6 linked regions of the Callithrix jacchus genome follow. Each later gene encodes a partner of the first gene's protein in a complex. Links are inferred from orthologs where the notes say so. Each region holds a gene or a part of one and is shown in the gene's direction. Other genes may lie near its edges.

Region 1 (3,500 bases):
TCCCAGCACTTTGGGAGGCCAGGGCAGGCGGATCACCTGAGGTCAGGAGTTTGAGACCAGCCTGGCCAACATGGCAAAACCCTGTCTTTACTAAGAATACAAAAATTAGTTGGGTGTAGTGGTGCACACCTGTAATCCCAGCTACTTAGAAGGCTGAGGCAGGAGAATCACCTGAACCCGGGAGGTGGAGGTTGCAATGAGCCAAAGTCACGCCATTGTACTCGAGCCTGGGCGACAGAGTGAGACTCCGTCTCAAAAAAAAAAAAAAGAAATGGGGTTTTGTTCTTTTGCCCAGGCTGGTCTTGAACTCCTGGACTCAAGCAATCTACCCGCCCTGACCTCCCAAAGTGCTGGGATTACAGGTGTGAGCCACTGCCTGGCTCAAAACATGGATAAGTTTAACATAATGTTCAGATGAGTTTTCTTAGTTTGTTTCAGAGAGATGATTATTTAGCCTACCCAAGTTTAACTCTTGGTTCTTTGTGCTTAATTTTTTTGAAGATTTTTTTAAAGTGCTTTATTAATTACTGTCATTAAGTCACTCATGTTTGTGCTTTTGAGGTTAAAATTGCAGAGTTCTCTCGTACTCCAGAAGACTTTCTAAAGAAATATGACGAACTGAAATCTAAAAATACGAGGAACCTTGACCCACTGGTGTACCTGCTGTCAAAGCTCACGGAAGACAGAGAGGTAGGTGCCATGCGGCCTGCCATGCGGCACCGTGCACCCGTGTCGGGATTGAGGTGGCATCTCGTAGGTGCCATGCGGCCTGCCATGTGGCACCGTGCACCCGTGTCGGGATTGAGGTGGCATCTCGTAGGTGCCATGCGGCCTGCCATGTGGCACCGTGCAGCCGTGTCGGGATTGAGGTGGCATCTCGTAGGTGCCATGCGGCCTGCCATGTGGCACCGTGCAGCCGTGTCGGGATTGAGGTGGCATCTCGTAGGTGCCATGCGGCCTGCCATGTGGCACCGTGCAGCCGTGTCGGGATTGAGGTGGCATCTCGTAGGTGCCATGCGGCCTGCCATGTGGCACCGTGCACCCGTGTCGGGATTGAGGTGGCATCTCGTAGGTGCCATGCGGCCTGCCATGTGGTACTGTGCAGCCGTGTCGGGATTGAGGTGGCATCTCGTAGGTGCCATGCGGCCTGCCATGCGGCACCGTGCGCCCATGTCGGGATTAAGGTGGCATCTCGTAGGTGCCATGCGGCCTGCCATGTGGCACCGTGCACCCGTATCGGGATTGAGGTGGCATCTCCTGCCCTCTCCACGCCACCATCCCGTCAGTTCACCAGTAACACTTCAAGGCCAGGTAGGACATTTGTGGTGAACCAGAGTGAAAGATCACCCATGATGGATGTAAACCTGAGAAACAGCCTCTGGGGCTGGGGGCTTCTCGTTTCCCGTGTGTTGTGCTGGATTCCTGCCTGTTATGTGCGTCGCTTTGCTATTAAGAGGAGCACCTGCCATCCTGGTGGTGGTGTCCCTGCTCATCCACCGTGGCCAGGGTTGTGCTGGCCTGGTGTGGAGATTTGCGTGTTTGCATGTTTTTAGACTCTGCAGTACTTACAACAGAATGCGAAAGAAAGAGCTGAGCTTGCAGCCGCCACTGTGGGCAGCAGTGCCACCAGCATCAGCGTCCCTGCGGCGGCCTCCAAGATCTCCATGCAGGAGCTCGAGGAGCTGAGGAAGCAGCTTGGCAGCGTGGCCACGGGCTCCACACTGCAGCAGGTACTGCATCTGTGGCTGTCCACAGGCGCCCACTCTCACTGCTGTGCCGGGCCCCTGCTGGAAGGGCACGTCTCTGTCATTTATTATTAGAGAGACTGAGGCTTAACACTTAATCATGACCTAGCTCTATATGTTTAATATTTTTTAAACCTAGAATTCTGGACCACAAGAAAAAATACCAGCGAGGTTCCTACCCACTTGGGAGTCACGCTGCACGGTGGCATGTGGCTCTGACCCCGCCCAGTCCTCACTCCGCATTCATGCCTCTAATTTCTGACAATTTTGAGGAGATGCTTTCAGATTATTCTATTTTCAAGACTCTTGAAAATAGAACCGTTTTTGTTACCTCATCTGTATGTACTACCTGACTTTGTTTTGATTTTCTGTCCTGCCCTGGTCTTTTGATGTAAGTCATCTCCCAGTCTCTCTCCTTGGAGCTGCCACGTTTCTGCCTTTGTGGCCTTTAAACTTCCTTCAGAGCTGCGTCCTTGAGGCATCCTGGCCTTGCCGGGTGTGTGTCGAGTGCAGTGGCTCCAAAGGACCCGGCCGGTTGCTGGACACATCTGTGCCGGATGTGATGCCAGGCCTTTGTCCACGTCTCCCTCAGCCATGGCACCGCTCTCCCCGTGTGGCATGTAAGGAGACAGACTGGGTCTTACTGCCAAGTACAGAGACAGTTTGCACCGGCCACTGTCCCTGACCCACCCTGAGCGGAAGTCAGTGCTTCCGAAAGCTGGGCCAGCCCTGGCCAACTTCGTCAGCCTCTGGCAGCCACTGGTACAGGAGGGCGGGTGCTCTGACCACTTTAGGAGCCACCCTGTTGTGGCGCTGCTGCCTCAACCCTTCCTGGGGCCCTTCTCCGGCAGGGTGAGGATGCTTGTCTGTTGCTGAAGCCTGTTTTCACCCAGCAAAGGTAGTCACTGCCAGGAGGAAGCAATTCTGATTGTTCACAGGGCGCCCTTCTCTGAAACAGCTGCTCTGTGCCGGGGTGCAGCCTCTCCCATGGTTTCCCCTGCTGGTGCTCATGGTTCTTGGGGGGCCCCTTGCTGGACCTGGACCCCTGAGAAGAAGGGCTAGGACTCCCATCTGCCCTGTTCCCAGCCCCTCACGCTGTGGCAGTGCCGAGGTGCACTTCGTTTCTGTGTGGCTGAGTCTTTATCGTCTTTGCAAAGACGATTGTTTCCGCGGGTGTGTCTGTTGTACACTAAAGTGTACCTTTCTGGTTTGTTTTAAAAACGTCCTTGGTAGTCTCTGGAACTTAAAAGAAAGATGCTTCGAGACAAGCAGAACAAAAACAATTCAGGCCAGCACCTCCCGGTCTTCCCAGCGTGGGTGTACGAGAGACCTGCACTGATAGGAGATTTCCTGATTGGCTCCGGCGTGAGCACAGACACGGCTTTGCCGATAGGTATGTGACGCGTTTATTTCTGGCCTCTGCCTGGCAGGACACTGCAGCGCAGCCCTCCCCTGGGCCTGCCTTTCCTCAGGTCCCGAGGCTCCACTCTGACTGGCCGCCGCCTCCGCATTCCCATCCCTGGGTGGCAGCAGAGAGTGGCTCACCAGGGTCCTGGAGGTTCTTCTCCTGTCCCTCCTGCCGGAGCTGCGAGCTGAGCTGCAGGACAGCCTGCAGCCGGCCCCTCCCCAACCAGCATCCTGGTGCCCTGGTGCCCTGGTGCCCTGGGGCAGACCTGCAGGCACCAGAACCGTGTGCAGCTCTCATTTTGACTCCGTAGGTTTCGTTACGGCCGTGCTCTCGGAGGCCTCTTAAAG
Region 2 (3,500 bases), on another chromosome or scaffold:
TGCAGTCATAGCTCACTGAAGCCTCAAGCTCCTGGATTCAAGTGATCCCCCTGCCTCAGCCTCTCAAGTAGCTGTGACTACAGATACATGCCATCATGCCTAGGTTTTTAAATTTTTTTGTAGAGATGGAGTCTCACTTTATTGCTCAGGCTGGTCGCAAAATCCTGGCTTCGGCCACGCACAGTGGCTCACGTTTGTAATCCCAGCACTTTTAAGAGGCCGAGGTGGCCAGATCACTTGAGGTCAGGAGTTCAAGACCAGCCTGGCCAGCATGGTGAAACCCATCTCTACTAAAAATACAGAAAAATTAGCTGGGTGTGGTAGCACATGCCTATAGACCCAGCTACCTGGGAGGCTGAGTCAAAAGAATGGCTTGACCCCAGGTGGTGGAGGTTGCAGTGAGCCAAGATTGCACCACTGCACTCCAGCCTGGGCGACAGAGCAAGACTCTGTCTCAAAAAAAAAAAAAAACACCTCACTCCTGGCTTCAAGTGATCCTCCTGCGTGTTTGCCTCCCAGAGTGTTGTGATTATAGGCATGAACTGACATTAGCCTCTTAAAGGCATTTTAAAGGCTCCTTATCAGCAATCTGTTATTTATTATTGACTTGCCCCTTATTTTTATTCTTTGCTATCACTTCTGGAATCCAATAGGTGACCAAATCAGTCAGTGGAGGGGATGTGACATGAGTGGGTTAGGATGGAGCAGGGGAGTCTAGGCACGGTGGCTCACACCTGTAATCCCAGCACTTTGGGAGACCAAGGCAGGTGGATCGCCTGAGGTCACGAAAAAATAGAAAAAATAGCCAGGTATGGTGGTGGGCACCTGTAATCCCAGCTACTTAGGAGGCTGAGGCAGGAGAATCACTTGAACCTAGAATGCAGAGGTTGCAATGAGCCAAGATTGTGCTGCACGCCAACCTGGGAGACAGAGCAAGATTCCATCTCAAAAAAAGAAAAAAAGATGGGACAGGGGAGAGTGGTCAGCCAAGGTAAAGGGGGTAAAGCCATTGGAGGGGGTCAGCCGTTGGAGGGGGTAAAGAATTATGCAAGTAACTTCCTACAAGGGTGGGCAATATAAGGGTGTCTTTGGTTAGCCTTAAAAGTGGCTTGGTTAGAAGGAAGATGAGTGGGGGCAAAGCATTTTCATTTCAACTAGTCCTTAGAATATGCAAGGTGCTAAAATTTTTGTGTAATGTCTGTCAGGTAGATGTGTTGGAGTCTCAGTTCTCCCAGCTGCTTCATCAAATCAATTCTACCCGAGACTTTGAAAGCATCCGATTGGCTCATGACCACTTCCTGAGCAATTTGCTGGCTCAATCCTTTATCCTATTGAAACCTGTAAGTAAGAGTCATTGGTTCCTAAACTGCTTCTAATACTGACCATTCCTTCAGGCACTCTTAGTTGACAAGAAATGAAACTATCATTAAGCAATTACTCATTTTAAAACATTTTTAAAGAATGTATAAAGCAAAACTAAAAGGGCATGTTCAAAGGGACCTAAGATGTCTTTGAATTTCTGAAATTATAGGGCATGGTAAGCAGCTATAGATGAAAGAATTATTTGTGCTTAAACGCTCAGGAGTTAAACTCAAAAACCTTGCTTGACAGTACAGAGAAACCAATGAAAAGCATATGGAGTCCACCTTCTAAGAAGTCTTTGGACCAGGATGGATCATTCATTTGAGAGTTCTTTTCATAGACAAGTAGTGTTTCTCTCTGGATGTGTGTACGTGTTTCTATTAAGTACATAATGTATCTCCTTTATCGCACTACATTGGAATCATCAGGACCCTTTAAAAATATCTAGGTGACGGCACTTAAATTAGAGTCCCTATAATAGTGGGATCCAGGTACCAATATTTTTTAAAGCTCACAAGCTAGTTCCAATTCCAGGATAAAGAACAGGAAGATTGAAATGATCTCTTGTAGTTTCTAATGTAATGGTTATGCTTCATCTCTGACATAACACTGCTAGTTGTTATTCCTCAGTGTGCTGTAGCACAGCTGTTAGGGACCATTTTGTTCTGGTGTTTAGGGCTATTTCTGCTGTACGAAGAAGGGTAAGTTATATATTAATAGATGCCAGTCCAAAGGGCTGGCTGAAAATAACCCAAAACTACTGTGATGGGTAGACACTGTCTTTATGTGGCACAGATGTATCTGTAGGGAAAAGCAGACTATCAGAAGAGATCATCATCGTTAATTATTTATTGAGTGCTTACTGTATGCAAGGCACTGGGGATACAAAGAGGTATAAGTCATGGCTCTGCCCTTAAGGAGCTCACAATCTAGTTGGAAAAACAAGACATATATACATACAAAAATCATTAACAACACAGAGGCCTGAACAATTGCCAAGTGGACAACAGTACAGATAATAAAGAAGCAAGAAATGGGGGTTCACTAAAGGCTACAGTGTGGAAGGGAGTGCTTCACTGAGAGAGTGGGTAGGACCTGAACTAGTATTAAAAAGAAGAGCATCCGGGGCAAAGGGAACAACACTCACAGCTCAGAGGCAGGAACACACTCTGTGGGTCTAAGAAACGAAGAGTTAAATGTGGCCAGAGTGGAGGTTTGCTGCAGGGCTGAGAGAGTAATACCAGCTTAGCCAGGAAGGGATGTGTTTGTTTTACACATTATGTGTATTTGAGGGGCTGGCAGGCCTTGCAAAGTGGCAGTGTCTATCTTCTCAGATTTGGGAGGTCAGCTACTAATTAGACTGTTCTCCCAAATCTTTAATTTCATGAAGGTACCTTCCTTCCTTTTCCTAATGCCAACTCTGTTTCCTGGGTAGGTATTTCACTGCCTGAATGAAATCCTAGATCTCTGTCACAGTTTTTGTTCGCTGGTCAGTCAGAACCTAGGCCCACTGGATGAGCGTGGAGCCGCCCAGCTGAGCATTCTCGTGAAGGTGCGTCTGCCTGGAAGTATGCAGCCTTGCTGAAAGGATAGAGGTGGTTTTGCCAATGGAGAATTCATTATCTTTCCTCTGAATCATTAAGACATTTCCTCAATACACACACGCACAGAAAGAAGATACAAAGATTAAAATGTTGGTATCAGTTGCCTTTGAAGCACGTAATTACTGTGCCACCTCATAGTGCTCAAAAGTAGTTCAGTCCTGAATAGTTTATTCAGCCCACCAAATAAGCACTGGCTTTGTTCTAACTTCCTCACATCCTACCCCTCCTTACTTCCTTGAACTAACTAAACCCCATCTCACTGAGATAATTACCTGCTTATAATCAAAACGGGTTTTCCCCAACCTCGGTACTTGACAAAATATGTTAACTGGAAACCAGCTACTAAATTCCTCCTGATGAAAGCGTACTTTCATAGGAAGTCATGCAAGTATAGATTTGGTACAAGTCATTTTAGGAACTAATAGAAATAGGAATGTGGGAAGGCCAGGTGGTTCTATATAATTTTGAACAAGGCTTTTCCAAGAAACTCCCCCCTCTGCCCCCTCCTCCTTATGGAGAGTTGTTGAGTTGAAG
Region 3 (4,001 bases), on another chromosome or scaffold:
ATTAGATTATGGATTTGGTGCGTCAAGAAAAATATGAGCTGCACGTACAGGTATGGGAAACCGGCATAAAGACGAGAGCTGAAACTGGAGGCGAAAAGGCTGCCTAGGCAGAGTATGACTTCCCTTCAGTCGAATAATCTCTAATGCTGTGATTTTCTCCTCCTAAGGAGATGTGTGCAGTAGCATGCTGTCTATGTTTTAGATGTTGTCGACTATTACCACACTAATGCAAGATAATAAATCACATGAAAACCATAAAGAGGGATTTGTTATGGGTTTGGGGGAGGGTTTGCTTAACGCAATAGTTAAAATTGTCACTGAAGAGGTACAGCTTTGATGACAACAAAAACGGTGTTGCGCCTCTGGCCAGCTGAGGATTATGCAATCTTCCTAGCACCTCTGGCCAGGTGACAAATATGAAGTCCCCCCGCAGCACATCTGGCCACGTGGGGTTATGATGTCCCCCAGCACCTCTGGCCGAGGGGGTTATGATGTCCCCCAGCACCTCTGGCCGGGGGGGTTATGATGTTCCCCAGCACCTCTGGCCGGGGGGGTTATGAAGTCCTCCCATCACCTCTGGCCGGGGGGGTTATGAAGTCCTCCCATCACCTCTGGCCAGTGGGGTTATGAAGTCCCCCGCACCTCTGGACGGATGGGGTTATGAAGTCCCCCTGGCCGCCCCTGCGGAGCAGGAGGAGCAGGAGCTAACTGGGGTTGCTAGCGGGTCGGGACAGCTGCTACGCCGATGCTGGTTGTGTTGTGTGGATGGGGCACCGAGATCCGCAGAGATCATCACTGGAGGGAGAAGCTGCAGCGCCAGGAGGGTTCAGCAGCTAAGCAGGTCACGGTTCCTGGAAAGGCGGGTCCCAATACGTATGCTGACCGGGCACCTAACGGGCTGCTCTCAGGGTCACTGATCATCACCGAGGCTGACCAGAGATCCTTATATACGACACGATGACACCGGCTGAGTACAATGGAAAACGTACCGTCGCGCAACCAGGAAATGTACACTCCAGCCCCAGCCAAGGAACAGCGCCAAGCCGTAGCCGCGAGAGCGGGAGCGCGAACTGCCATGAGAACAGCTGCCAGTTCTCTAGATGCCCGGCACGAGAGCTCGAACTATCGCGAGAAAACCGCCAGCTCAGAAAGCTACTGTCGCGAGAGCCCGAACTCTCGCGGGAACAGCCGCCAAGTGGCTAGACGCGCGCTGCGGGAGCGCGGAGCATGGCGGAGCATGGCGCTGCATGGACATCCTTGGAGCCGGCTGGACGCGCAGCAGGAGCGCGACGTGCGGGAGCTCATCCGCAGTGTCGCGGGCCTCCAGGACGAGACAGACCCCAACTTCCAGCTCGCCCTAAATTTCGCCTGGTCCAACTTTAGGTGTGGGGCGCGGCGCGGGGGCGGGTTCTAGGCCCCAGCCCGGATCCCGCGCTTGGGTCCCGCGGAACCCGGGAACTGGATGCGCCGGGGCGGAGCGGGGACGGAGGCGGACGCGGCCTCGTGGAGCCCTCTCAGGCCCTGCCGCCGCCAGCTCCACGCCGGCCAGGCTCTCCTGATAGTCACGGGGGAAGCGTGGAACTGGGTTCTTGCAGGGCGGGACGCGCGCCTGCAACCCCAGCGCTGTGGGAGGCCCAGGCGGAACTCGAGGCCAGACTGGGCAACGTAGCAACTCCATCTCTATATAGTTTTTTCTTTTTAAGTAAAGAGATTGTATTCTCACTGATTTCTGTTCTCTCGTCAGCCAGTACAAGCTCCCTCTCACTCTGCTTTCCTTTTTCAAAAACGCGTGTTAGGACACTGATGTAACCTGTCATTACTGTCTCCTCTGCTTGCACTCCAGCTAGAATGCTGCATCCCTGCACAGCTCCTGGCACGTAGCACGCTAAGTCACCTAATACCATTGCTAATGCAGTTTCTCTTGTAACTAATTTCTTGTTTGGTTGGTTGGTTTTTGTTATGTTTTGTTTTGTTTTTGTAGCCCAGGCTGGAGTGCAGTGGCGTGATCACTGCTCACTGCAACCTCGGCCTCCCGGGTTCAAGCGATTCTCCTGCCTCAGCCTCCCCAAGGTGCATGCCACCACCCTACGCTATTTTTTTTTTTTTTTTTTTAGACACGGGATTTCACCATGTTAGCCAGGATTGTCTCAATCTCCTGACTTCGTGATCTGCCCCCCCACCCCTTGGCCTCCCAAAGTGCTGGGATAGCAAGCGTGAGCACCAAGCCCGGCCTCTTGTAACTAATTTTTAGAGACTTACAGAGTTTAGATATTTAGATGGATTGAGATCTCCTGTTTTTCTTTATGGGAGATGTAAATTAAACAATACTTTAGTTCGTTACTCATAATGAAATTATTACTGAAAGAATGTTCATGTCGTACCTGTTTAATTTCAGTAAAAATCTTCTTGAATAATGATTAGGTTTTCAAAACCTGTGATCTTAGTTACCTTAACGATCACAGCCGGTAAAGTATCTAGTTAGTTGGTTCGTAGTAGGAATACAGGGCTTTCAGATTCTTTTAAAGCATGCCAAGTTTCCGAAGTAATAACTGAATTCTTAACTGTAACTTATAAAAATAAACAGTGTGCGAAATAGGTTATACAATACAGAAATGTAAATGCTGAATCCCAAGTTATTTTTCTATTAATATACGTAAATGACAGCAGCAGATGTTCATCATTTTAGAGCTGGAAGAGACCTTAGAGGTTAGTATTTACTTTCACAGATTTCAGGAAAGAAATCATAGGTAAAGTGGTGTTCCATTTAGCCATTTATTGGAATAGAATCAGATGTTGTTTTCAGTAGTGAAATTGTATTTCTTTTGAGTACAGATTGCTGGCTGTGATACTAAAAGGCAAAACGTTTTTTGCATAGGCTATGCTGTATACATATACATTAGTTGCATAGGCTATGCTCTAATTTTATGATGCTTTAAAGCATCAGAAAAATGAATAGTACATGTTTACATTTTTTTAAATTGTGGCCATTTGGAATTCTAGGCCCTAGAAATTCAAAGATGAGTAAGATATAGCCTCCGTCTTTAAGAAAGAGACAAAAGTTAATCACAGTATATTATATGATAGGGACTTTTATAATTCAGAAATTTGTCAATTTGGATGAGGAAAATATTCTACTAATCTCTAACTGAAAAGTAGCATCTCCTTCCATTATGAATGAAGGCAGAAAATCCTAGTAGTATTAGACTACCTATGACTTTTATTACCAGTAGAAATCGCATACTGTTTTCGCATTATAGTAAGAGTGGTAGATGTTTGTAAATGTTGTTTACTGTTATTTTAATGGTTATTGGACCTACTGCTAAATGTTGTTATTTAATGCTTTCATAAATAACATTTCTTGCCATAAACTTACTGAAATATTTGACAACTTATCTCAGTATAATCGGATTCCTTTGTATTTCTTTTTTGGCATTTAAAAACGTTATTCAGAGAAGGGGTCCTTATGCTTCACTGGGCCTCACTATGACGTAGAAAGATTGGGAACACTTGTTGTAGAATGTGTTCTGCTGGACTTAGATACGGGGCCTTATGGGAAGATAGAGGAGCCAGAGAACAAGGTTGGGAGGCTCAGGAAGCATTTGTGTGCTGAGGAAAGGATGCTTGCATAGTCCTGGACCCGAGGCTTATTTGCCTGCCTGATGGTGAAGGTAACGGAGGACGAGGTACACTCCATTCTGAAAATGTGTAGCTGAGTACAGGGCTTATGGGCGATGCGGAGGGCCATGAAATGAATTCACTTACCTATGTGACGAGTTGGCATAAGAGCTACATTTTGTCTTTATTAGATTTCATCGTTTCTTGGATGTCAACAGCCACAAAATAGAAAAGACAATTGAAGGGTAAGTCAGTGTATATATGTATACATTCAGAAATATATGTATTTTCTTTTTTTGAGATAGAGCCTCACTCTGTCGCCAGGCTGAAGTGCAGTGGCATTCAATCTCGGCTCACTGCAACCTCCCACTCCCTGGTTCAAGGGA
Region 4 (3,500 bases), on another chromosome or scaffold:
TTAATAATTTTTTTTGTTCATTATATTGTTGTTTCTGGTTCTAGCATGATGTAAAGAATCATCGTACCTTTTTAAAGCGGACCAAATATGATAACCTGCACTTGGAAGATTTATTTATAGGCAACAAAGTGAATGTCTTTTCTCGACAGTTGGTATTAATTGACTATGGAGATCAATATACAGCTCGCCAGCTGGGAAGTAGGAAAGAAAAGTAAGAAAATAATTATGTATTCTTTTTCCATTCTCTGACTTTAAGCCCAAAGTCAGGCAGAATTAAGACTGGGAGGTTTAACCATAATGAGGACAAATAGGACCTGGAAAATGGTTGTCTTCATTCTTTCTTTTTCTTTTCTTTTTAATTGAAAAATAATTGATAATATCATAGTTGTTTATGTCTCATCTGACTTAATCATATTTATGTCTCCTGTGGCACTTAGCACGTCTCCTTCCATAATGCAAGCACCTTCTCTGTATTAGCTGAATGAATTCATAAATCACAATTTAAAAATCTATTATTTATTCTTTCCTTTTTCCATTTTCTCCCTGTTTTCAAATGATGATCTTTGATATAGTTGACCAGGAAGATTTTGTCTAGATTGTTTGTAACTAATGCTGTCTGTTCTTGAGCTTTATTAACAGACATATATATCTAAGAAATGTTGATCAACTGATCAATTGAAAAATGACAATATGAGTGTTGTAAAAAGGAAAAAGGAAAGAAACCATATAAAGAAATTGTGATACTGGGAGACTGATCTGTCTTGTTTGTAACTGTATCTCTAAAAACTGTTATAGCGATACCTCAAACAGTAAATTATTCAGAGTGTGACCCACAAAAGTTTGTTAAATAAATGAGTGAATAAATTGATGTCATCGAAATGTCTGGAGTATGGTATGTCAAAGGAAGGGTTTCCCAATGGCTGGCATCCCGCCTCCTTCTCTTCCTCCCACTGCATGTGGCTCATTCTATGAAAGACAAACTGTAGCATGATGCCTCCACCTGTGTCTCTATTCTCTCTATTGTTTGTCAAAACTGCATTTATCATTCATTTTCTCAGTTTTGATTTAGAAGAGATACAGTCATCTGTAAAAGGGGTTAAGAAAAAAATTAGAAGAGAGAACAATTTGAAGATGCAATTGAAAGTTAGACTTACAGAAAACTAGGACTTTTGATAATGTTTTTCTTCCGAATATTGATTTTCAATATTAGCACAATGGCATTTTAATTTTCAGTCTCTGCATTTATGAGTTTCCAGTTTCTAAGACTAGAATTAATTATATTTGAAATGAAATTTTAATTCCTTTGTCATCTTTCTTGGCTCTGATTGCTGTAGCTTATATTTTATATGGTTTGGGGAGATTTTTTTTTCCTGCAGAGTGATTGGTATTGTAACTAAAAATAGGGATTATTAGTAGAAGTTAAGACTGTATGTATAAAAGGCTCCAAAAATGACTTAATTCAATAGGGAAAACAAATCAATCAAACTGTTTTTTGAAATCTACTACTCAAATGATTAGCTGATTGCATAGCATCTGAGTCACTCTCATAATAACATGGTATCTCTTTCTGTGACTTCCATAGTCTTTCTATACAAGCACTTTATAATTCTTGAGGTGACTGGATTCTCAGTGTGGCTGTTAGTACACAAATGGTGTTAGTACACAAATGGATCAGAGGGGTGGTGAATGCCTCATAAAAAAGGAAGACCAAAGACTCCCTTTGAAATAGGACAAACATTTCAGATATTAAATAAGGATCTTTTAATGTTATGAGATCTTATGTAAAAGTCTATGGGATTAAGGAAATGCCAACCATAATTCCTTTATTTAAAACTAATAAATATATGTAGCATTCGTTTATGGAGCACATACTATATGCCAGTCATTACAATACTCACTTTACATACACCTCAGTTCAAGACTACTTTATTTTATTATTATTATTTTTGAGACAGGGTCTGCTGGCTCTGTCACTCAGGCTGAAGTGAAGTGGCATGATCATAGCTCACTGTAGCCTTGACTTCCCAGGCTCAAGTGATCCTCCCAGGTCAGTCTCCTGGGTAGGTGAATCTACAGCCCTGCACCACTATGCCTGGCTAATTTTTTGGTGTTTTGGTAGAAATGCAGTTTTGCCATCTTGCTTACGCTGGAAGACTACTTTAAATATTTAAACTAGCAAAATAAGTGACTTAGGGAGGCAGGGTTAAGAGTCTGACCTAATAAAAATAAAATAGCCATTAAAATTATAATTTACATATTTTAATTCTGATTTGACAGAAGTGAATGTTGTTAAATCTATTTTATAGAATGGGTAAGTAACTTGTCTGTAGTCACACAGCTAGAAAGTAAAGGGAAATTGTATTTTTTGTCTAAAATTCATTCTCTTTCTACTAAACCTCTAATTAATAGGGCAGGTGCTGTTGAATGGGACTGATTTGAAAACAGGAGGAACGGAAGAATTCTATTTTAATATGAAGACAAATTTGAAGTATTTGGGCTTCATATAGTTAATGAAAATATATACAGTATATATTTTACTAACTCAAATTGATTCACCATCTTCTCTTCTTACTCTTTCTTAACTCCATATGGGTTAGAAAATCCAGCAGCCCTTTGGGTGATTTAAATAAATTTCTTCGAAACCCAAGAGTTTCAAAAATGTATTGTTTTATTTAAATGGCAAAAAGTAAAGATATGAAAATATATGTATATGTCTGTCAGCATTCTACAGAAACACCTTCTGTATAATAACTGATTTAGTCTAGTTCTCAGTTTTGTATAGTGTTGAGGAAAATTTATGAACGAATTACACTTTAGTCTTTTGTTTCTGTAATAAAGCTGGTAGTGAGGATGATCAGTGAAATTGATCCCATGGAGCTAACTGAGGAGCAGTTATCCAGATAATTTAATATAATTCAATTTAACTCATGAACTAGCTTCAGCTTTCCAATTCCCTTCGACTGTAGAAATCTGACATTTGGTTCACATTTCTATCCTCTCTATATAAAGATCCTCTAATCACATGGATGAAGGTTACAAGTTGTCAATGAGTCAGTCTTTGATTTTAATTTTAGCTAGTAATCAATTGATGCTTTATGACTCTGTTGTTTAGTTGTAGAGACACAATACAATTTGTGTCTTTCTAAAAATTTATTACCTCAAACCAGAAATAATTAAAAAGTTTTCATATGAAGAGTCAATATATATATGTATGTGTGTACATGAATGATAGAGGAATTTTATATGACAAGGAAGCTATTCCCCATATGATAAATGAGGTATTAAATGTTTACTTTGGTAGCTTTATAGCTATAGTAAGAAGTTTATAAAAATTAATGAAAAATAATGCCAGTATCCTATTTAAGAATTCATTAATTTTAAGTACTGAGCCACATATTTACATTCAGCAGTCCCATTCCTTTTGAATCTCAGCCGGAAAGCAAACCATCTAATCAAATGAAAGGGAGAAAGGTGAACAACATTATAGTAAATGCTAAATA
Region 5 (3,500 bases), on another chromosome or scaffold:
AATGTGAAAAAAGAATAAAGAGTGAAAATTTAAAAACTGGAACACAAGAGAGATGCCTAAACCCTGAAGAGCAAGGAGTGCACTGAGGAGCCTCTGGGTTCTGTGTCTTCATAGGCTGCTTTGGGCTAAAGCTGGTTAAGACTGATTCAGACCTTCTCTTTGGAATGAATTTTCTTTTATTTCCCCCCGACACACTCTTGTTGCCCAGGCTGGAGTGCAATGGTGCAATCTTGGCTCACTACAACCTCCACCTCCCGGGTTCAAGGGATTCTCCTGCTTCAGCTTCCTGAGTAGCTGGGATTACAGGCATGCGCCACCACACCAGGCTAATTTTTTTTAAATTTTATTAGAGATGGGGTTTCTTCATGTTGATCAGGCTGGTCTCGAACTCCTGACCTCAGGTGATCTACCCTCCTCGGCTTCCCAAAGTGCTGGGATTACAGGATTGAGCCATGGAATGAAAATTTTTAATGACTCAAACAAGGGTATGATGAAAACATTTCTAGAGAACAATCTTTATGTCATTTAAACTGTGCAAGTCAACGGAAATAGATCCCCATACCCTTAAAACAGGACGGTGGTGAGCTCATCAAGGGGCTTCATGGTTTCATTTCTCCAGGCAGACCTCACTCATCCTCAGAACTGCATGTTCTTCACTGGGGCATTTTAGTCTTTACTACCAGTATGTAATTGGAATAATAACACTAAGATAGGCCTGTCTTACCTGCTTTCTTATTCTGAAGGACAAGCAAATCTTAAAAGTCCTCTGATATACTCCAGCTGGGTGACTTGAATCAGAAGAGCTTGCCTTGTTCTTACTTAGTCTTGAGCTAGCGTTTTGCCTTCTCTCAGTCTGAGGTTGTTCCTCCCACTGGGGTTATTTTATAGCCCAAGTATGATTGTGGGTTTAATGAAGTCAAGTATTGAGATACATTTTAAAAACAGTTTTGTGCTCTGCAGATGTAAATCAGCAATAAAAGCAGCTCTATTGTGTGGGTAGTCTCCACATGGAGACTGTATTTCTTATCAATAGAAAGCTATGGAAGTGCTTTTTTCACCCGTATTACTGCTTAGAGTCAGGCGTCTTTCTTGGTGACGATCTGGTTTTGTACCCTAGACGTCTCCAGCAGTCTCCCTGGAGTTCACTCTGTGATGTGTGATAATACTCCTCAACTTTTCGAGTTGTATAATTCATCAGGTTTATTTGCATGTGTTGCTTTCATCTTGAGACTAATTTATGGAAATGTCTTATGGATGTGGACAGGTGACTCAGTACCCACTTGCCCTATTACCAGTGTGTTTTGGTGGGATTTCAGGTTAGTTATAGTGTAGAAAGGGACTTGGAAATCATAAAGACACAAATGTAGGTGTCTGCTGTGAACCCAGCTGGCAGCAGCATTTTCATCTTTGTGGTCTCAGGGCTCTGGTCTCCTGTGGAGCGTCCAGCTGCCTGTGCCTGGGGTCAGTCTGTTACTGTTGCCACAGACAGTGGTTGGCCCTGAGGCTGGACGCGTGTGCCTTCATTTCTCCTCTGTGAAAATACAAGTTACGGATGCCTGTGTGCTTTCCCCTGTTCTTTCCAGCTGCAGACTTATTCACAGACTTAGAAAATGCATTTCAGGGTAAGATTGATGCTGCTTATTTTGAGACCAGCAAATACCTACTGGATGTTCTCAATAAAAAGTACAGCTTGCTGGACCACATGCAGGCAATGAGGCGGTACCTGCTTCTTGGTCAAGGAGACTTCATAAGGCACCTAATGGATTTGCTGAAGTAAGACACAGTTTTGATTTCTTTAATATATTTGACATGATAAAGAGTCTTGTGTTTAAAAGAATAAACGATATTAAAGGAAAATGAGTTGAATTCTTACAGAGCATATTTTTTGAATAAAATCGGAAAAGAATAACATTTTCAAAAGTTAAAGTCCCTTTATTTTTGCTCTGTTTTCAGTAGAGCATCATTGTCATGTCCTGTGCTTTATTCAGAAGAGAAGCTGGTTTTTCTTAACAAAACTGTGGCGCTTCAACAGTCTTTACGTGTGAGGAGTTGGTCTAATCAAAATGAACTTGAGCTTGAGTTTGAAATAAATCTGAAAAATAAAATATATTTTAAAATTGAATTTTACTTTCATATTTGTAGTTAATGTTTCACATAAAAACACAACTTCTGCTCTTTTCATTTTGTTCCCCGACATTTCTCATGGAGTCTTCCCTTTCAGAATTAAGTGTGTGTTATTCTCTACCAGGAGACACAGAGGCAGTTCTGGACTGGAGCCTGCTGTGCTCCTGGGTCTAGAGACAGCACAGAGCCGAGGGGATAGTGCAGACCCCTGCCCAGGTGGCAAGAGCCAGGCGTGAGCCCCCAGCAGGGCCACGTCACGGGCCTGGAGATGTTCACTCTGGTGTTTATAAGAATGAAACTTCTTTTCTTTAGATGTTCCTTTTACGACACTTAAAATGTTCCCTTTAAGATGCAAAATAGTAACTTACCTTTAAATCCTGTCAGGGCCGCCCAAGCAATTGTTTTAGGCCTCAGGTCCTCAAGTGTCAGTGTATTCCAGACTAGAAAGCCTGCTGCAGTAGCTTGTGGGCCCGCTTCCCGAGAATGAGGTTCTCAGGTGTGGGGTAGAGCTCGAGGATTTGCACTTCCAGCAAGTTCCCAGCGGCTGGTGATGCTGCTTGAGTGGGGTTCCACATTGAGAACCACTGTTTGAGGCATGCAAGCTCTCCTGCCTTCTCGCTGGAAGCCACTCTTCCGTGTGAAAACTGATGTGGCGTTTTGAGGCATACAGAGCCATAGCTGGCTTGCGACAAGCTCATGTCTTGGTCATAGCTGATGTCTGCTGACAGGTTTGAGTTATAATCACGGAAGCAGCATTCTGCACTGTGAGAAGGTTCACTAGTATGATAAATACCTGTGATGAGGTCAACACCTGTTTATGAGTGGTGGTGAGTTTTTCAAGGGAAAATGGTCTCTAGATGCCATGGTGGTCTGGGGTGTGTATGTGGGTCAGTTGCTGCAGATGGAGATTAGAAACCAAAGTGAGGTTTAGGACCATGATGGTGTCATAGGTCACATCAGATAGCAGCCGAATGCATTAGCCTTGTGCCCAATTTTAAAGTTGAGTGTTGCATTCTTGCTATTAAGTGAAAGATTCGTTTCTCCTCAATGTTGTATTTTACGTTTCTAGTTTTTAGGCTTATTTGACGTTGTGTGTCTTTCTTACCTGTCTCTGCCCTGCATTTTGTAGCGCTTACACATATACCTGAGTTGATTGGTGATGTCCTTAACTTGGTCACCCTGATTAGAGACATGTTAGCTCCGTGGTTGTAAAAGCAGATGTCAGTACCCCTCAGAAAACGCTTGCTGAGAGTGTAGTGGTTCTTGGCCCTTTAGAATCATGACACCCACATACCCTGATGAGATGGAGACCTCTCCTTCTACCATCGGGTCTAAAAGGAAATTATATCAGCTCATGTAACTCATAGGCCAGCCTG
Region 6 (3,983 bases), on another chromosome or scaffold:
CCCCATCTTTATAAAAATACATTTTAGGTCAGGCATGGTGGCTCACACCTGTAATCCCAGCCCTTTGGGAGACTGAGGCTGGTCGATTATGAGGTCAGGAGTTCGAGACCAGCTGGCCAATATGGTGAAACCCTGTCTCTACTAAAAATACAAAAAAATTAGCCAGGCGTGGTGGCACGTGTCTGTAGTCCCAGCTACTCGGGAGGCTGAGGCAGAAGAATCACTTGAATCTAGGAGATGGGGGCTGCAGTGAGCCGAGATTGTGCCATTGAACTCCACCCTGGGCAACAGAGGGAGACTGTCTAAAAAAAAAAAAAAATTTAAATGGCCAGGCACAGCTCACGCCCGTAATCCCAGCACTTTGCGTAATCCCAGCACTTTGCGTAATCCCAGCACCTTGGGAGGCCGAGACCCGCGGATCGCTTGAGTTCAGGAGTTTGAGACCAGCCTGGCCAACATGGTGAAATCCTGAATGTACAAAAATTAGCTGGGTGTGGTCACGGGCACCTGTAATTCCAGCTACTTGGGAGGCTGAGGCAGGAGAATTGCTTGAACCCAGGAGGCGGAGGTTTCAGTGACCTGAGACCGTGCCACTGAACTCCAGCCTGGGCAACAGAGCGAGACTCTGTCTCAAACAAACAAACAAACAAACAAAAACCATATATATAAATTAGCTAGGCATGGTGGCACATGCCTGTAGTTCCAGCTACTCGGGAGGCTGAGGTGGGAGGATCACTTAAGCCAGAAGTTCAAGGCTACAGTGAGCTATGATCGCGCCACTGTATTCCAGCATGGGTGACAGAGCGAGACCCCTCTAAAAAATAAAAAATAAAAAGGTTACATACATGTGTATGTGTGTATTGTAACACCATTAAAAAACAGAAATTTAAAAGAAGAAAAGCTGGCTTCTAGCACCTGGAACTAGCAAAGCTGACAGTCACTCACCTACCAATATAGGTAGGTGACTCTATACCTGGACAACCACATCCACCTGGTTGCTCCGCCCCTTTCTTCCCCTCCCTGTCCCTCTGCTCCCCTCCGCGTCCCTTCCCTCTCCTTCCCTCTCCTCCCCTCTCTTCCCCCCACACATCCAGGTTCCGACCTTGCCACCCCCAACGAGTCTCACTGCGCAGGCGCGGACCGGTGGGCAGGAGCGGGCGTGGCCTCACTCTGCGCCTGTGCCGAATTCCAGCTGCGACTGCTGAGGGAGAAAATGATGCCCAGGTTGGGCTCCTCGGCCCGCCGGCCGAGGAAAGGCCTGCGTTGCACACGCGCAGACCGAGCATCCGCGTCAAGAGGGGAAGAGAGAGCGCGCTCCCCACGTCTGGCGCGCCTGGCTGCCAGGCATTCGTCTCAGCCGTGACTCTCGCCAGGCCGGGGCTGGCGCGCCCACGTCTGAAGAGTGATGCCCCGGGAGATCATCACCCTGCAGCTGGGCCAGTGCGGCAACCAGAGTGAGCAAGAGAGCGCCGGCCCCGCCGGTCTCTGGTTCTGCCCCTTCGGGTCCCACCCAAGTGCCTGGCTTCCACCTTTCCCTTCCATGAACCCCCTACCCTGCTGCTCTGGATAACCCGACCAAAGCTGCGCCTCCAGCCCGGAGCTGGGGCAGCTCCCAGACCCCCACATCTTGGGTCCACCCTCTGATCGTGTCAGCCTCTGAGACTAAAACTGGGTTCCTCAGGCCTTAAGGCTCTAGCAGACCCGGGCATCTCCCTCCTCCCCCAGTTGGGTTCGAGTTCTGGAAACAGCTGTGCGCCGAGCATGGTATCAGCCCTGAGGGCATCGTGGAGGAGTTCGCCACCGAGGGCACTGACCGCAAGGACGTCTTTTTCTACCAGGTGCCCCCAGCAACTTGGCCAGGGGCGGCAGTGGCCCAAAGGGCCGGAAGGGAAGGGAGTGGCCTGGTACTGGAAGGGGAGCCCCACTGGGCAAAGGGGCCAGGCGGCTGGCTTGAGGAGGGAGGGCCCAGGGAGCCAGAGTTGGGAGGACTTAGGACTTGGGCCGCCCTGGCTGATTGGTCTTCCTCCTGGACTCTCCTTGACAGGCAGATGATGAGCACTACATCCCCCGGGCCGTGCTGCTGGACCTGGAGCCCCGGGTGATCCACTCCATCCTCAACTCCCCCTATGCCAAGCTCTACAACCCAGAGAACATCTACCTGTCGGAGCATGGAGGAGGAGCTGGCAACAACTGGGCCAGTGGATTTTCCCAGGTGTCCAGGCCACCATTCCAGAGACCTTTGATATTCCCACCCAGAGGCAAGGCAGGCTCAAGCTACTAGGAATTTGACCAGACTGACAGAAAATAAGAGAGAAAAGGATGCCCAGAACAAGAGAGACAGTCAGGGAGAGGTTTATGCAAATTTTGTGCAAATCATTTGCAAAAGTAGCACTTCTGGGTTGAGGGCTACAGCCCTGGGTCTGCTTCAGGGTGGCAACAATATCCCAGGGAAGACAGAATTCTTGGTGCTGTGCTGAGAAAAGATGAGCTCTGGAACCTTTGTCCTGACTCCTTTTCCATATCTCTATACAGGGTGAGAAAATTCATGAAGACATCTTTGACATCATAGACCGAGAAGCAGATGGAAGTGACAGTTTAGAGGTGAAGTTATGGAGCAGGGGAAGGAATGGGAGGGAGGCTAGGCTGAAGAGTGCTGGGGAAAGGTCAGGAGGTGGCCTGAATAGGTGATGTGAGGGGAGCAATTCAATTCAAAACCCATTTATGGAGCATCAGATGTGGAATATTGAGGTAAATAAGATATAGTCTTTGTTCTCAAGGAAGTCATAAATCGGGATGGCACCGGCCCCTTAGGCATGAGTCATTCAGCTTCTTCACCAGCTCCAAACCTTCCCAAGGAGCCTCAGCCTGGATACATAAGAGGAAGCTTTGAGACATGGGCGTTTTGGGAATGGGGAATGAGTCATGCCGAAGTCTCTCCCCCAGAACCTTGGAGACTGCCTCTCCATCTCTCCCCATGCTGGGTGCAGTATGTTCCCGGCTCACAGTTCTTATAACCCATGTAATTTCCTAAGAGACTTGAGCAATAAGGGTATGTTTTGTTAAAATATTTGACCTTTTGTCCTTGGTTTCTGAAACAGCTCCAGAACAGCTCCAGAGTGATAAAGGTGAAAGACAGTCTGTTATTTATAACACGCCCCTTTCTTTTAATCTGTCATTTTATTTAATTAGTTAATTTTACTAACCACTGTACTAAGGAGGAACAAATGCCTTTCAACCAAATCTGAGCTTATGTCATTGAGGTGATGTTTGGAAAGTCCCAGATAGCCACTGGATTGGGGGCTGGTTACCAGGGAAACAAGCCTGGTGCTCTGAGGGTTGGAATTTACAGGCCCACCCCTCACCTCTGGGGAGGGGAGAAGGAGTGAAGATTGAGTTGCGCATCAATTGCCAGTGATTTAATCAATCATGCCTGTGTAATGAAGCCTCCATAAAAATCCAAAAGGACTGAGTTCGGGGGCTTCCAGGAAGGTGAGCAAGAATACATCCACATGCTGGGAAGGTGCAAACCCAACACACAGGGCAGAAGTTCTGTGCTCCAGACCTTTCCAGAGCCTCCCCTCAATGTCTTCATCTGGCTGTTTATTTGTATCCTTTAAAATATCCTTTATAACAAATGGGGAAACATAAGTGTCTCCTTGAGTTCTGTGAGCTACTGTAACAAATGAATTGAACCCAAGGAGCAGTCCTGAGAACGCTGATTTATAGCTGGTTGGTCAGAGGCACAGCTAACACAACCTGAAGCTTCTATTGGCATTAGGAGTAGGAGAATCTTGTGGAACTGAGCCTTCACTCTGTGGGATCTGATGCTATCTTCAGGTACAGATACTCCTCAACTTACAATGGCTTTATCAGGATGTAAACCCATCATAAATTGAAAATGTCAACTAGGCATAGTGGCTCATGCCTGTAATCTCAGCACTTTGGGAGGCCAAAGCATGTGGATCACCTGAGCCCAGGAGTTC

What was found.
Region 2: TUBGCP2 (region 1) and TUBGCP4 share a complex: the UniProt entries of both Homo sapiens proteins name them as parts of the gamma-tubulin ring complex. The link is inferred for Callithrix jacchus from reciprocal best matches to the Homo sapiens genes TUBGCP2 and TUBGCP4.
Region 3: TUBGCP2 (region 1) and TUBGCP5 share a complex: the UniProt entries of both Homo sapiens proteins name them as parts of the gamma-tubulin ring complex. The link is inferred for Callithrix jacchus from reciprocal best matches to the Homo sapiens genes TUBGCP2 and TUBGCP5.
Region 4: TUBGCP2 (region 1) and NME7 share a complex: the UniProt entries of both Homo sapiens proteins name them as parts of the gamma-tubulin ring complex. The link is inferred for Callithrix jacchus from reciprocal best matches to the Homo sapiens genes TUBGCP2 and NME7.
Region 5: the proteins of TUBGCP2 (region 1) and TUBGCP3 are in contact, whole or in part, in a cryo-EM structure (PDB 8Q62), measured with the Homo sapiens proteins. The link is inferred for Callithrix jacchus from reciprocal best matches to the Homo sapiens genes TUBGCP2 and TUBGCP3. Residues at the interface, in NP_006650.1 of Homo sapiens: Gln172, His173, Pro175, Ile176, Phe177, Pro178, Trp180, Arg184, Ala186, Leu187, Ile188, Gly189, Phe191, Leu222, Tyr223, Val226, Val228, Asp229, Gly230, Arg231, Glu278, Ser281, Phe283, Gln287, His290, Ala291, Ala294, Arg297, Val300, Lys301; in NP_006313.1 of Homo sapiens: Glu272, Asn273, Cys274, Ser286, Leu287, Asp289, Thr290, Val292, Arg293, Glu296, Trp299, Ser361, Thr363, Leu364, Arg365, Leu368, Val369, Tyr372, Lys375, Ile376, Lys379, Ala382, Ala383, Asp386, His387, Ala402, Tyr403, Lys405, Thr406, Gly407.
Region 6: TUBGCP2 (region 1) and TUBG2 share a complex: the UniProt entries of both Homo sapiens proteins name them as parts of the gamma-tubulin ring complex. The link is inferred for Callithrix jacchus from reciprocal best matches to the Homo sapiens genes TUBGCP2 and TUBG2.

What each region holds. Positions count from the first base shown.
Region 1 is NC_133513.1:126,631,928-126,635,427, reverse strand, and holds part of TUBGCP2 (gamma-tubulin complex component 2), read left to right. Parts: intron 1-561; coding exon 562-690; intron 691-1,553; coding exon 1,554-1,730; intron 1,731-2,978; coding exon 2,979-3,138; intron 3,139-3,500. UniProt on the Homo sapiens protein: Component of the gamma-tubulin ring complex (gTuRC) which mediates microtubule nucleation.
Region 2 is NC_133509.1:31,143,768-31,147,267, forward strand, and holds part of TUBGCP4 (gamma-tubulin complex component 4), read left to right. Parts: intron 1-1,205; coding exon 1,206-1,340; intron 1,341-2,797; coding exon 2,798-2,914; intron 2,915-3,500. UniProt on the Homo sapiens protein: Component of the gamma-tubulin ring complex (gTuRC) which mediates microtubule nucleation.
Region 3 is NC_133507.1:1,819,763-1,823,763, forward strand, and holds the start of TUBGCP5 (gamma-tubulin complex component 5), read left to right. Parts: upstream 1-1,201; 5' UTR 1,202-1,237; coding exon 1,238-1,383; exon of another isoform or gene 1,384-2,706; intron 2,707-3,806; coding exon 3,807-3,860; intron 3,861-4,001. UniProt on the Homo sapiens protein: Component of the gamma-tubulin ring complex (gTuRC) which mediates microtubule nucleation.
Region 4 is NC_133519.1:33,151,153-33,154,652, forward strand, and holds part of NME7 (nucleoside diphosphate kinase homolog 7), read left to right. Parts: intron 1-44; coding exon 45-211; intron 212-3,500. UniProt on the Homo sapiens protein: Possesses an intrinsic kinase activity. Displays 3'-5' exonuclease activity with a preference for single-stranded DNA. Does not seem to have nucleoside diphosphate kinase activity.
Region 5 is NC_133502.1:28,000,516-28,004,015, reverse strand, and holds part of TUBGCP3 (gamma-tubulin complex component 3), read left to right. Parts: intron 1-1,583; coding exon 1,584-1,773; intron 1,774-3,500. UniProt on the Homo sapiens protein: Component of the gamma-tubulin ring complex (gTuRC) which mediates microtubule nucleation.
Region 6 is NC_133506.1:121,228,168-121,232,150, reverse strand, and holds the start of TUBG2 (tubulin gamma-2 chain), read left to right. Parts: upstream 1-1,183; 5' UTR 1,184-1,405; coding exon 1,406-1,454; intron 1,455-1,725; coding exon 1,726-1,838; intron 1,839-2,044; coding exon 2,045-2,212; intron 2,213-2,532; coding exon 2,533-2,601; intron 2,602-3,098; coding exon 3,099-3,125; intron 3,126-3,983. UniProt on the Homo sapiens protein: Tubulin is the major constituent of microtubules, protein filaments consisting of alpha- and beta-tubulin heterodimers. Gamma-tubulin is a key component of the gamma-tubulin ring complex (gTuRC) which mediates microtubule nucleation.